3 linked regions of the Drosophila melanogaster genome follow. Changing the gene in region 1 together with any one later gene gives a genetic interaction. Each region holds a gene or a part of one and is shown on either strand. Other genes may lie near its edges.

Evidence for each region. Genes that interact genetically often act in the same process or in processes that back each other up.
Region 2: of trpl (region 1) and Xport-B, changing one enhances a phenotype caused by changing the other (phenotypic enhancement), as found in Drosophila melanogaster (one study listed by BioGRID).
Region 3: of trpl (region 1) and inaF-D, changing one enhances a phenotype caused by changing the other (phenotypic enhancement), as found in Drosophila melanogaster (one study listed by BioGRID).

Annotation. Positions count from the first base shown.
Region 1 is NT_033778.4:9,752,028-9,756,705, reverse strand, and holds the start of trpl (transient receptor potential-like), read right to left. Parts: upstream 3,010-4,678; 5' UTR 2,867-3,009; exon of another isoform or gene 2,729-2,866; intron 1,093-2,728; 5' UTR 977-1,092; coding exon 947-976; intron 669-946; coding exon 523-668; intron 414-522; exon of another isoform or gene 1-413. UniProt on the Drosophila melanogaster protein: A light-sensitive calcium channel that is required for inositide-mediated Ca(2+) entry in the retina during phospholipase C (PLC)-mediated phototransduction. Required for vision in the dark and in dim light. Binds calmodulin.
Region 2 is NT_033777.3:19,913,766-19,917,043, reverse strand, and holds Xport-B (exit protein of rhodopsin and TRP B), read left to right. Parts: upstream 1-1,631; 5' UTR 1,632-1,749; coding exon of another isoform or gene 1,750-1,963; 5' UTR 1,964-1,967; intron 1,968-2,031; coding exon of another isoform or gene 2,032-2,168; 5' UTR 2,169-2,219; coding exon 2,220-2,561; 3' UTR 2,562-2,724; downstream 2,725-3,278. Other genes in the region: CG4465 (uncharacterized protein), read left to right, coding at 54-1,054; Xport-A (exit protein of rhodopsin and TRP A), read left to right, coding at 1,750-1,963, 2,032-2,168.
Region 3 is NC_004354.4:11,724,114-11,731,022, reverse strand, and holds inaF-D (inaF-D), read left to right. Parts: upstream 1-1,923; 5' UTR 1,924-2,208; coding exon 2,209-2,434; intron 2,435-3,658; coding exon 3,659-4,494; 3' UTR 4,495-6,355; downstream 6,356-6,909. Other genes in the region: CG15221 (uncharacterized protein), read right to left, coding at 6,585-6,627.

The DNA.
Region 1 (4,678 bases):
GGTCGAAGGCCTCATATTGCTTATTAAGTGGCTGCCGGGATGCCAGTTAGGTAACCATTTTGAGGCCCGCGGCAGACGAGTGTGCAAATAATTGAACCCACCACCAGCACCGCATCCAAAGAACCCAAGGAGGCTCCCGATGGGATTTATGGTACCTGTGCGACCCAGCCCAGTCAACACCTGTGTTACCCTGGGCGAAGCCACCATTGGAGCTCGTGATACCCCTCTAAAAATGTCAGGGTTTTTATTCGAACACCCTACACTCGGATAAATGTGGTAGTGTGTTTAACTATTTCTTTTAAATTGAAGGCTAAATATATCAATATACATTAGGTTCTACTCGATTGATACATTCATTAGCTAAGCTTGTACATTAACTTTGAATACTAATGCTCATCCAACACCTGATTGTGGTAAGAGTTTCTTGCAGTGTATCCCTCCCGCCCAAGATGCCATACAGAAACACCACCCACCCCCCCCCCCTCCCTGCTGGGCATCGGAGGCGTGAAAAGCGCTACTCACCTGCGCACATTCGGCATATCGCCGCGCTCGACAGCCAGCAGGAACTTCTTCTCCTCGAGCAGCAGAGGCTGTGGTAATCCCAGCGGCACACAGCACCCGCCCACCGATTTGGGGGCGGAGGAGGCGTGGCTGACGCCAGACGATACCTGGCATAATTTAAAGAGACAGGTGAGCAGGAGCCACATACGTACATGCCGATGTGGCGAGGGGGAAATCGTGTATGCGGAATTGCAAATAAATAAAAAATAAACATACAAGAAAATTAAGTGCAAAGTGGAGGATGCTGGGCTGATTGTCTGGCTTCCATCTAAATGGCATTGGAGGCGTTTAAGGTAAGCGGCGTTTAGCTAATACTGGCGGCTTTAAGACATGCTACTTGCTGGATACGGATCTGGATCGGGATCCTGGATGGGTTTCTACTTACGCCCGTCGGCAGCTTCTTTTTGCGACCCATTCTAGAGTTAGTGCACTTCACTTAACCGAACGCCAGCAGTTCGTAACTAGTATTCCATGTACCAAGTCCAGGGTTCAGAGTTCAAAATCCGACTTCATGTCGCAGGGCTTTGCACACTTGCAGTGAAAAGTGAACGATATTTACATATATGGCATATATATTTATATACACAATGGCAAAGCCAAAAAAGTCCAATACTAAGCCGGGCCACATGCAACTTTCAAGTTGATTTTGCTTTTGTACTCATAGTTGTATAGTCCATAGTTATATGTCCAACTGGGTGTGCTTGTGTGTGTTGGTGTGTGTGTGTGTGTGTCTGGTGGTTTTTGACTTGGTTTATGGTTTCTGGTTTCCGGCGTGCAAAAAGTTTCTATTTAAGCTGTTTATAATGTTTTTCTTTTTATTTCCGCCACTGACCGAGCTGGCTAAACCCTTTTTAAGTGCCATCTGCATGGGCAAGATTTAAGTTTTGCCAATTTAGTGAGTTGATTAGACACTGTGCAGTTTCACTGTTTCCCGACTGTTACTGGTCAATTCCAAAGGCCACACTGAACACCAAATTCGCGAGCACTTATTGCACCACTTATGACCAATTGTTCAATCGGCTTTCTGTTTTGATTTACATTTTTATTGCACTCATCTCATTAGCAACGAACTGCAGTTTGTATTAGTTGTTGCTGCTCTCATTGGATTGTTCACATCATCGCCAATCGTTTCTCCCATTAGAATTAATTTCTTTGTTTCCCAATATTTTCCCACACCCGATGAAAATATTTTTATTTTCCGCTGCCTTCCTCCGCATGTGTGAACACAATGCCAAAATGAATATTTAAGGAGCTTTTTTCGATAATCCGCAAAGAAAAAATGCATTCCGTCTACATGCTTTTGCTTTAAACTGGCTTTATGCTCCTGCGGATGCGGATCTGCATGCGGATATGGATGCGGATGCTGCAGATGCATTTAAAAGTGTTTGGGCTGGTCATAAAAAATGCAAGTGCTTTGTATGCGCGGCAGGCAAAAACTCGGAACCATCATCATGGCGGTTGTTCCATAAAAAACACTTCCGGTACCAACAAAAGGTGGTTCTGACTACCCCAGGAGCCCCGATGGTGCATTGTTTAATTAACTTAATAGAAATATAAGTGCGGAGGACGGGCGAAAATGCGGACGGACATAAAAATGTCGCAATAAATTCGGTTTTATCCGCCACTTCATGGGAAGCGTTTATAAATGGATTTATAGCTGTTCACCTGCACAGCAGGTGCATACTGCGACTGCCCATCGAAATGGGATTATATCTGCACCTGTATATATTATAACAAGTATAAACTATTCGGTTAACATACGATGTAAAATGCATATGATATTTCACTCTAATTTCTCCCTCTGCAGCCGAGATGTGTTAATTCTGCCTGGCACCGATCGAAGTATCATAATTTTGTCGCAAGCGCACTGGAGTTCATTAAAACTAGAACAAATTTTGAGTATTTTACAGAGTTCATAAAAACGAAGGGCTTATCGCGATGGCAGCCAGTTGAATCGAAACTCCAGCAGTCACAGACCACAAGCTCCGCACACACAGCCCCAACTTGACAATCAACGGAAGAGGTAGGAGCAACCTGCAGCTGCCAGGAGCAACCAGGAGCAGTCAGGAGCAACCAGGAGCACAATGAATGAAGGATATAGCCACGTAATTCAGTTGGCTCACGGACTGCACTTAAGCCACTTATAACCAAGCGTACGGATACGTACTTCTTGCATTCCGGCACATAAAAACGTGTGCAATTGTTCGACTCGCTGGCACAATGGACGTTGGAATTTCATGTGACCGGCTTAGGTGAGAGGACTGCGACTATGAATTGTATGCTGGCATATACTTTATAACAATACGTTTGGCCACCGAACTCCCGAATTCCCGTACAATGTGTGTTGTAGTTTATGTATATCTGAATTTCAGCTCTTTTGAAGGCGAAAACCCGCCGAGAGACAACCCGCGACGCAGCCCGAACGTGTGCCACCTGCGAAATTTACACGCTGCTACTAACGCGCAGAAATTTATACCTTTCCCGAGGGCCGAGCGGCGATGTGGCTAATTTAATTAGACTAAAACGTCAAATATTTGTCACCCATCGCATGGATACGCCTGGAGGTTGTCCGTGCAACATTTATCCACACATATATATATATATATATTTCTATAGGTTTATATATACGTTTGTGGTGTTATGAATTGTGGAGGTCGAGGGCTGAAACACAGTATCAACAAGTTTTCGCCAAGTTCGCCTAAGGGGATTAGGACCCAAACATATGTAGGGGCTGGTGCTGAGGTGGGACTGGTGGTGGAGGTGGGGGCCACGATCCAGACGGCGACTGTCGGCAATTGAATTACAACTAATTTGCCATGATTTGATTTGGGTTGCTACAGCTATTGTTTGCCACTTGCTCTTCGGGCTCTTTTCCGGCCACAAACTGCTGCACATTTGCGGATACTTTCGTGCTGCCCAATGCAGCGTGCGTAATTTGATTTGGAAAATTTCAGTTTAGCCTGCAGTTCGATTGACATTGATTAGCTGCTGTTTTCAATATATGTTAATAGCTGCGACTCGAAACATCTTGCATATAAATCTACTGCTCCTTCTACCATTATACACTTGCTATAAATCTGAAATCTACTACTAGTGTTTTCATTGCCTAATTTTTTTATATTGCAATTATTTCATCGTAACGCAGCATAATACTTGTAATTGTTTGAATTCAATTAATTAATTTTTCACTTGTACCGAATTTTTTCAAATGCTGATACCCATTAAACTGATTTCAAGTAAACCTAAAGAGCCTATGATTGTGTTATTTCAATAGTTTGTTTCATTTTCAACTTGCTATTGAAAAGGGTTCCTGGTTCCACTGGCTGCTCCACTTCAATTGGGATACAACGAACTGCTAGACAGTCCAAGAGGGTCCTTCACATGTTCATATGTCTCCGGCAGAGTCAGCCTTTTGACGGGCATAAACAAATTTGCCCAGGCAAATCTAAACTCTAGATACACAGAGGGCATGAGCAGTAACCAACTTGCCAAACAAAGGCGGAATTAAATCAAAAATCTTAAAATGGATTTTGATGAGATGGAGCATAGCGGGTTGTTGGGCTGCCGAGGAGGGCAGGGATGAGGGGAATCCTTTGGCGACAGACAACAATTGAAGCAGATTCCAGCATCAGCTGAAAAGTCGAGGTTTGGGCCGGAGCTTCGCATGACTGCACGTAAACAGGCGAAGCCAAACAAACAAACAAACACCAGATGAGGTTTTCGGGCGGAAAAGAGTGGAGCAGGAGCAGGAGGCGGGTGTGGCAGGTGGGTTACCATGACTGCGTCTTTTATCAAGCTGCATGCGGTGGGCGAAGAGCTCCAGTTCGGAGTAAAAGCATCCTTTAAGGTTCGTCCTGGCTCCAATCTCCCGATTCTCTGGCCGCGTTGCGATATATCTGGCACTTCCCCTGTCTTTTTTTTGTGCTATATCTTCTTGTTTTGGCCACGTGGCTTTTAGTAATACACTCGAAATTTTTGAAAATCACTTAACAAATAAACTATTTTATAATAAATAATACATAAATTAAGTATGAATTTATTACTTCGAAGACATCTAAGTTTGTGTGCTATCTAAATCTGCAAATAAATAATGGAGAACAGCAACTCAAAAAAGTAT
Region 2 (3,278 bases), on another chromosome or scaffold:
AAGTAAAATTGAATATTTAAGAATACTTTAATATTAAATAACCTACTTTTCAGTTGGTGACATAACAGCGGGAAAATATCGCGTAGGAACCCTCATACTTTACGACTGCTTCTGGGCTCTGGGCTTGATTCTGCTCCCTGGCTTGGCCTCCAATGCTCCCAGCTGGCAGCACATATACTTGGGCGTAACTCTTTCCTTGCTGGTGATTGTCTTTCTGCTACCCTGGACTCCGGACTCACCGCGCTGGCAGCTGCAACACACCAAGGAAGCTCAACTGGCCATCGAGCGAACGGTGGGTATCCTGCTGGAAGCAGCCCGTACCAATGGTAGAATGCACAAAGTGTCCAAGGAGTTACCCCAGCAGTTGGAGGAGCTGAGAGAAAGGATGCTGGAGCCAATGCCCGCCGTGCATTGGATGCACTTGTGGATGGGCCAGCGTAGGAGTACTTTCCACTTGGTGGCCGTGCACATGGCACTTGCCACCTTCATGGTGGTCAACACTGGGCTGCTGCTCCATGTGCGGTCCTTTGGCAGGGAGCACCTGGTGTCCAACACACTGGCCATGGGCCTGGCCGAGATGCTTGGCTGCTTCCTGGCCCTACACCTGACCTTCAACCTGAGTGAACGCAAGTGGCAGTGGGCGGGGGGATTTGCCATCGTGGTCGGTTGCATCGGTAGCATCTGTTGGTTCCTGGCCGAGGAGGATATGCCCGAGGTGTATGGACTGACGCTGGGCTTGCTAATGGCATCACTTCCCCAGGCGGCCGTAGCCTGCGCCCAGTCCATGATTTTGGCCTGCCTGGGCGAACTGGTGCCAATGGAGCAGCGTAGTTGCCTCTCCTTCTCCGCCGTCACGTGGGCGCGGGTGTGGCAGCTCTCCGCCTCTTTTCTCACGCTGCTCAGGCAGGTGAGCCCCGCCCTCTCCCTGTCCGCCTTCTGTCTGCTGGTCATCCTGGGCGGCCTTGGCACATGTTGCCTGGTCACGCGGGACAAGGAGCAGCCACCGGTCGGAGCTGTGGTAAACAAGGGACAGCAACTTATTGCGTTCACGTAATAACGTATACTTAATATATGTCTGGGCGTATTTGATAAGTTAGTTGTAGTGTGTGTCAAGTATTCGCGAACAGTATTCGAATTTAGCTCATTAAACATTCGCTTATCGCGAATCGAATATGTATATTGGGTTGCATACTTTTGGGAATAAATCAAAAGTTCGGCATCTACACGTAGTTTGTTTAAAATGTAAAGCTTACATTAGATCAATGCAAAACTATTATAAACTATTTGGCAGAATAAGGCATTAAATAAATTAAAACTGGTTTGCATGATATTTAAATAAGCTTTCAGGAACCAGAGCCATTTGGGACCAATGTAAACCCACAAACACCAACCCTACCGGCGACCACCTTCATCCACCAAGTTGACACACATTTCGTGTGACTGGTATAATAAGTACACATGCCCGGCTAAATATCCAAGCGCATTGCTCCACTAACAACATATTTCTATTTGGTCACCTGTCCCACCATTCCCACCCAGCCAGAGCGACAAGCAGAAATCGCAAATCAATAAAATGGAAACCATAAAATTGCCAGAAGCGGCGCCACGCCAATTGGCACCACAAAGTTTGTGTCATTTGCGGAGCAGCAGTTGGCGAGGAAGCACCAGGCGGAGAGCACTTCCAGGACCAACTCCAATCAAATGCAGTGCTGTGCAGGCTGACCGACCAACTGCTGCTATCTGGATGCAATGAAGCCGAAGAAATCGGCCTTTGCCAATTCATCCACGGGATACGGCAGGAACAAGCACGGTAAAGGACACTCTGGCAAGGATAAAGTCGAGGGTGGTGGTAAGGGCAAGAGCCGAGACGAGAAGGATAAGCATAAGCATGAGCAGAAGGTGGACGAGAAGGATGACAAGGATCTAAATTCCGGCTTCGGCGACTATCTTCGCACTCCGGAGGGTCTGTAATTTTCGCTCCTTAAAAATATATAGTTCATTTAACTAATAAATATTACCCCTTTCCAATAGCATTTGAAATGATGAAACTCTTTGTCTTCGCCAATACCATAATGCTAATTGTCACCATGGCCTGGCCGCACATCAAGGAGCAATTCTACATGGTTAATCAATGGCTTGAAAGCTTCCGCGAGGAGCATCAGCAGTAGAAACCAAAGGATCTATCGAACAAATAAGTAAATCAAGTGGAAGCATACAATATGGTCGGTCCATTCATGCAGGGCCTATTCTTGATTGGCATCATCTACTGGTATTCCAAGGGGATGATGTCCATGATCAACGACTACTACAGAAGTGAGTTCCAGCGAAAGTTGCAGACGGAACCAGCAAAGACGAGGGCAGAGACACCCATCAATGTGGACAACTTTATGGATTATGTTAGGGAGCTGGACACTCCGGACGAGGTGGCTAGAATTCCGGCGGAAGGAACTGAATCTCCGCCCATGGGAAACACCTATTGCCACATCCTTCGACGATTCTTGGAGATTACCGGCACTCTACCACCATTCGATGTTTGCCTAGTTACGAGCAACATAAGATAGCCCATCCTATAATTAATTATATATGGTATCAATTATACTTAGTGTGTTTTATATGAGTTTCGTAGAATAAAATATCTTACTAACCGTATTGCATACTTAATTGTCTTGCTCTCTACATTCGAATTCTACATTGTATCCCACCATTATGAACAACAATAGAAATATTTATCCAACTTGTGGTTTTCAGCTTTTTTATTTAAATGTTTGCAGAATATATTCGTGTGTCTCCAGCATTAGCTCACTTACTAACCTATTCACAAAACTTTATAAACATACTAATCTCTATAAATATCATGGAATATATATCGATTTGGTCTGTAAGTAAGCTCTATTCAATCCAGATCTGGTCATTGCTAGTTTGCATCTGAAGCATCTCGTGAAAAATAGTTATATGGAGATATAAAGTAGTTAGGTATTTGACTTGGAAGTTATGCCATTTGGTTTATAATAAGTGCTGTCTACAAATCGCTTGTGTTCAGGTATTCGTTTTGTGGCACAAAGTGTAGAGTTTTGAAGATACCACAAAGCTGAAGATATCTTAAGTATCATTTGATTTAAGGAGGTCAGTATGTGATTAAGAGCTAGGTATTACCAATTTCATAAGAGATCCACATTCTAACATACACTACGCGCACCCACTCTTTAGCCAATTTCGTAAAATTAACTTCACAAACAATAAAATACAAAGACAAATGCCTCTCGGGCAAAATCATATTT
Region 3 (6,909 bases), on another chromosome or scaffold:
GTCTAATTAATTCAAAGCCAATATCTTTCCTGCACACACATTTACTCGAGCCATGCCATTAGTTCTTATTAAGTTGATAAACCGCCCGTCTCGCCCATCGTTTCTTAGCCCAGAAACTTTTCGCCCAACAAAAGTTTAAGTTTAATTATGTGTATCCAACTCTGTATCATGCATGTTGGGGGAATAAGTTTACCCTTATTCGCTTACCAAGGCCCATAGCCCAAGTTATCCCATCGTTCCGGCTGCCCGAGCTGCTTAATCAGCTTTGTCTGCACATAAGTAAGCAGATGGATAAACCATCCTTAAACTTGCCATGGGCAAAATGGCTGGAGGGAAACGGAAGTGGGAAATGGTTGTTGGGAAGGGGGGGATGGAAAATGGCAAATGCAATAGGCCGGGCCCAAAACATTTTCGAGGCCAGAATAGGCAGGATGAGGGCTCTACCTGGCCACGTTGGCGAATTAAACTCCTTGAAGGAAACTTTGCAACAATGCTGCTCGGCAAATGTATGTGAACTTGCGTGTGAGTGTGAGCGTGTCCTACATCCTGGCCCACATGATGAATATGCATTTAAGTGCAAGTACAGTGGAGCTTTGTTTGAGCAAACGTGCGCCAGTAGAACTTTCCGGAACTAGGTTTTTTTGTTTTACCCTCGTAACCACGTAAAGTTAAAATTTACCATTTTAGCTTTTGATTAAGAACCTGCGACTTATGACTGCTCTGTTATATTTTAGAAAATACTTTGAAGTTTCGACCATAAATAGTTATTGTTTATAGGTTTTCAAGTATGATACACATACGATAAATACATATTTTTTGTTTTTGTAGCATACTTTTGGGCATTACAATCCAGTGTTTCCGTTTTGGAGTGCAACCTGTAACTGCACATGCATGTGGGTGTGTGACTGGCTATCTCTTTTCGCAGCACTTTCTTTGTGTGTGTGTGTGTGTGTGTGTGTATGGAACTTACACAACAAAATCAATGGCCAACATTGCAATACCGTTTGGCCATCTCACTCGCACGTCTGCATTTCAATTCGCCGAGCGCTGCATTCGTTTCGCTCTCTCCGTTAGCTCTCTCCTGCTCGTTCTGCCGCTCTTTTTCATTCTCTCTCTCGACTTGTCCTAGTGACCCAGTTGCAGTTTGTTAACCCCCCGAAGGCAACGGAAAACGAAGGTGTGCACGGCGGGTTAAAGGTAGGCTGTGGGGGGAGGTGGGGTTGTGTGAAAGTTTGAACGTCCTTCGCGACACCTGCGAAGGTTGCTGTCAAAGCCAGCAGTGCACCGCCACGCCCACGCCCACCAAAGGCACCCACCACCCACCGCCCACCAACAGCCCACCAGAAATTGCACAACATTTGATTTTATCGATGCGAACAATCGCCCCAATTGGCACAACAATTGATTGGCATTGAAATTATTGAAATAATGGAAAATTAATTCAAGCGCGCATTTTAATTTCCGCATGTAAATCGAACGCAAAAAGGGGAGCGCTGATTTTCGGGGGAGTGAAAACTGCACTTGACACACAAAGAGCGGCAACGTGCCGACGTGCGGTTTGTTTTTGTTTTTATTTCGCCTTCAAGGAATGCCCACGAAATAATGAAAAGAACACAAAAAAAAAGAAGCAGAAGAAACAACAATGAGCGTGGGCAGCCGAAAATGCAAATGAGCGCGAGTGAGAGAGACGGATTTTATGAATGAAATTAAAAGCGAAGATCGCCTAATGCAATGGTAAACTCCCCCAAAGGCAGCCGAAATTGCCACGAAGGAAGAAATAACCGAGTGCGAGAGAGCGATTCGCTCTCGCACGAAGCAGGAACTGCAAAAGCACGAAGGCGAAAAACGGTACCAACTCCTGCCAGAATCTCTCTCTCTGCTCTCATTTCGCTTTCACACTTTCGACGCGTCGGTTGGCAGACAAGTTTTTGCGCGCCCTTTTTTGTACTTTTAAGCTCGCCACGCATAAACAACAATAATAAATTAATTCAAATCAAATATATATCATTTACATGTAAAACTAATCGCGTGTGGCAAGCTAAGAACCGAAAAGAACTTTGCATTTATCAAACAAAAACAAAATACTAGACTATAACGGGACACTGCCAAAACAACGTGAAGAGAATTCAAATAAATTTTTAGAGGAAAGCTACCAAAATCAAGAAGAGCCATATCGAAACAATCAAAAAACAAACGATCGAATCAAAAATGAACTCGAAACACAGTTCGCTGGAGGAGAAAGTGAAACTGCCGCCCACGGAGACAATAAGCCGATGCTACCAGCCGCAGCAAAGCAACCGCAAGGTCATCCGCATCCTGACCGTCGCCGTCTATGTCCTTTGCGTTTCACTGGCGGCCATCATGCTATCCCTATACTACATCTTCATCTGGGACCCCACCATCCGGCCCTTTGTCACCAAGGCCACGCATTGCGGTAAGGCGGCGGTTAGTCAACCGTGTAATCACTGTACACTCCACATCAACGGCCAAACTGCTCCATCATAAACCGATGACTGCCAACCGGTGAACAATGACCAATGAACGGTGACCAATGACCACTGGCCATGTGACCAAAAAAGCCAGAAACCAATCACGCGCCGGGTAATTTGCGGCCAGCGGTCAATCTGGGACAAAGCCCGAATCTAGGCTACCAGAGTTAAGAGCTAGCTGTATTACGATTGCCAAGGGGATGGGGATGGGTATTAGGGTGAACGTTGGGGCTGGACTACCCATTAGTAGTTAGCCATTACCATTAGATGGGCTTCGATGGCTGGCAGGATAGGGTTGACCCTTTTCTTTTTTGAAGCCTCATTATAAAGTGCTTTTAACGGAAAGTGCAGTATGGATAAGTGTACTGCCATATCTGATTCAAAGAAGTGACAGTTATTAAAGTTTTTTTTTTCCTTTTTAAATTGATGGTTATATGCATGCGAAATAGTAAAGGGTCTGAATGTAATTGTTCTTCAGCTTACTACCAAGCATTCTGTAGTTGTTATTACGTTGAAATAGAATTTGCCCAAATTTCTTGGCAAAATATCGCAATTGGCAGCACTTTCTCAGGAAAGGACGTGAAAAAGCCGCCCACAATGCTCCACTCGCTTCGGCTTCAGCTTGTTCCGCCTCCTTCCTTCCGCTGATTCTTGGCTTTTTGTTCAGTTTTTGTAAATCAACTCGGAATTGGGTCAATGGGGTGTCATGCACACGACTACACCCGAACCACCCAAAACCAACCGAAACCACCCAGCCACCCACCGCCCTAAGCACGTTAGGGTGCAGTTTTTCTTGGTGTACTTTCCATTTGCAGTTCAATAAATCTAATTTGATGCAATTAAATGCGGAATCTGGGAGCTCAATGAAAGTTATACGCCAGAAAGCCAAACAAATTGCAATTTATGATAGCGAGAATGCACTGTTCCAGAGCTGAATGTAAGGTAATATGCTTAGTGTTCGCTTTAAAAGTTTTGCCCATTTGGAGCATCAGCTTAAATTTGAATTAAGACACAACAAGGAATATTTGAATCGTAACAGGTGTAAAAAAAGTTGGACTAAGTCATAGAAATATGATTTTGAATGAGAAACGTGTTAAGATTTCCATAAAATACTACTTATATAATAAATAACAAACTAATTAAATCCTTATGATTCCTGATTCTTGCAGATAAAATTGTGATACCCGAGAAAATAGCCATTCGCCTCCTGAACTCATCGGAAGTGACCGCGGAGCAGTTCTACAAGCACATCCTCGAGCAGTACCGCATCCTCAGCCACATGCAACAGCAGCGCCAGCAACTGCTGCAGCGCCAACATCTCCAACTGCAGCAGCTGGAGGCAAACAATCGCTTCCAGGAGGTCTTTGCCACGGCCACCATCATTCAGGCACATCCGCATCCCCATCCACATCCCAGGGAGCCGCCCAAGAAGCCGCTTTTAGGACCATATAGCCCGCAACCCGGCAACATAAGTCACGCTATGGGTGGTGATCAGTTGGATGCAGAAACGGAGCAGGGTCACATGCCTCTAATCCTGGATACCTCACCGCCGGTCGAAGTAACCGGAATGGGTCACCTGAAGCGGAAGACACATCGCGGTCACTACAAACATCATAGAGCCCGAGCCGGTGGTCAAAAGAAACTGTCCATTGCCAATTCGATGGCCAGCTCCACGCCGAGCACCACAGCCGGAGGAGATGCGTCAATGGCCACTGCGGCCACTTTGCCACATGGTTATATGGACGCTCCACTAAATCCGGCGGCAGGAACCATTGTCCAGGCACCACAACTGCAGCTATACACCTCGATGCCCATTCCACTGATCCTGAGTCCCAGCGACGAAAAGCGTCCTTCGCACCACGCCCACGGACATGTCCATGGCGAGAGGCGGAACGGGGCGCAATCCGGCGGCCGGCGAAGGACCACGACGGCATCGGTTTCTGGCTACGAGGCGCAGACCTACCTCAATCCGTTTCTCACCGGCGAGCTGATCTTCGAGAAGTAAGGGACTGCACCCAGATCAGGAAACGTCGCGGTTCATTGTTTTTTTTTTTTTTTTTTTTTAATGCATGTAGAGGGATATACACTACAGTCAAGATCGGAATTGGAGATTAGCTCATAGAAATGGTAACTGCCCAAGAAACAAAAAAAGAAATGACTAACAAATGGGCAATAATACCCTCAATACCTTGTCATACCTATTTGAATGGAGAAATAACTCAGTTAAGCTCAGTACTGGCATAAGCATGGGGAAAATATTTCAATTAATCAGTTCGAGTAGATATGTTTTCCAAATTGATAGCGATATTAGACATTTCATATTGAAATTTACAGGTACAAATATAATCTCAGTTAATGCGTAGAATGCGTTTGCAATTGAACAAATTTAACGTTTTATAGCAAGAACTTAGGAACAAAAGTTGTACTCGCTTATTCTATAATAATGTTAACTAAAGCCAAAGCAAGTAGATCGGTTGTATAACTCATTTCTGCTATAGATAAGTCTTGACTTGTATCAGTACTGAGCTATAAATTGGTCCATATATACGTAGCCAGGCCTGGCCACATATAGAGGTTAATAAACGTTATGTACTGCAAAAGGATAGTTGAAACCATAGCTAAACGATAGTCGATGTACCAACCACACTCCACTCCAATCCAATCCAATCCAATCCACTCAAATCAATTCAAAACAACACACTCGTAAGGGACACACACTCACGCATAATACGGGACCCACTTCAGTAGAAAGTCACACGATATCAGCGATCACGGATCACGAATTACGGATCACGGAATACGTATCACGGATCACACAGGCGGCTCACCTCACCAAGCTCAGCAGCAAACTCACCCCACCTAGGACACTGCTTCCAGGCAGCTAGCGAACGCTACACCAACTACAATAATTAGCCAACCCTAGAGTAATCAGTTTACCAGTAAACAGTAACCAGTAACTAGTAATCAATTACCAATTACCAGTAACCCATCCAAGGAGTATACCCCCCTTGCAAACGGGGAAGCGGATAAATGTCACTAGAATTCAGCATCATCAGATTGAATCACACACAATCCTAGTCGCCTCACGCGAAGAGAACTATGTCATGATCAGATATCGGTGTATGCATTCTATATTATGTACTTCGAAATATGTAATTTATTAAGTTTTCGCTATACTTTTCATTCAAATTGGCAAAAACCAATTCAAAGGTTTTCAATATTTTCGAAAAGCATTTTAGGCTTTCTATGTAACGTATGTTTTTCAAACAAAATATTAGTTTTTGAAACTTTATTATCGGATAAACAAATGTAAGCCAAATTACAACGTTTATGATACTCCAAAGATTCGCACTATAAAGCCCACGAAAGTGGCCTAAAAATAGCTGACGCATTACCCATAGGCGCTTCGCTTCTCAAGATAAAACCTGGCGTGCTCAACTCAAGAACAAATATGTGGTTATATACATATATACATATATGGGGCATATAACCGATGTGTGACGTGACATTGGCTCGTTCTATTCACATACTTAAACACTAAATGCAAACCTATCAAAAACCAACTACACTAAGCGAAAAAGCGGCAGAGATAGTTAAGGAAAGTGGTCAAGAGAGGACGAGAGAGAGAGAGAGAGAAAGTGAAAGTGAAAGGGAGAGATAGTAAAACTGCATCTGCATCCAAAGACACGAGAATTGAATTCATCAATAATAACATACGTATAAACGATATGCATACGATATAGAATTGAATCTGTAACTGATGGGCATATACCGCATATATATCTTATATACCGCATATATCTTATATATGTATACCAAGAAAAACAAAGTCATTTTGGCAATAATAAAGCATAGCAAACAACAATAAATTAAGCAAGGTCTTTTTTTTATTCAACGAACACTGTTGCATTGGGATATTTTTACTATCATCACTTGTAAAAAAAAAAAACAGTCATTTGATCCATACGACTACGATTGTTATAGTATTTAGCATCATATATTTCACAACTTTGTTTCACACAGATTTCCATGTTATATTAGATCTCACTTAAAACCGTAGAACCCATGGGGAACCACATTGCTTCTTTCACTCACCGAACTCGCGATCGCAGTCAATCACATATCCAGGATTATCCATGATGTCCTGAAACTTCGAGGCGAAGCAAGGATTGCGTTGCGTCTGACGGCACGGTCCACGGCCAACTGATGAGCTCCGTGGGTCTGTGGACTTAGAAGTATGTCCGGGTATCCGAACGCAGAGGTACGTGCTTCAAAGTCCGATCGCAATTGTGTTCTGTAAAGCTCGGTACGGTAACACAATCGTAAACCCGGACAGAGATATCCGCACCAAAAATAAAGACGAAAACAAAAGCTGTAAATCTTGAATAAACGCCATTCACCATCTTCAAGCAAATTGCAA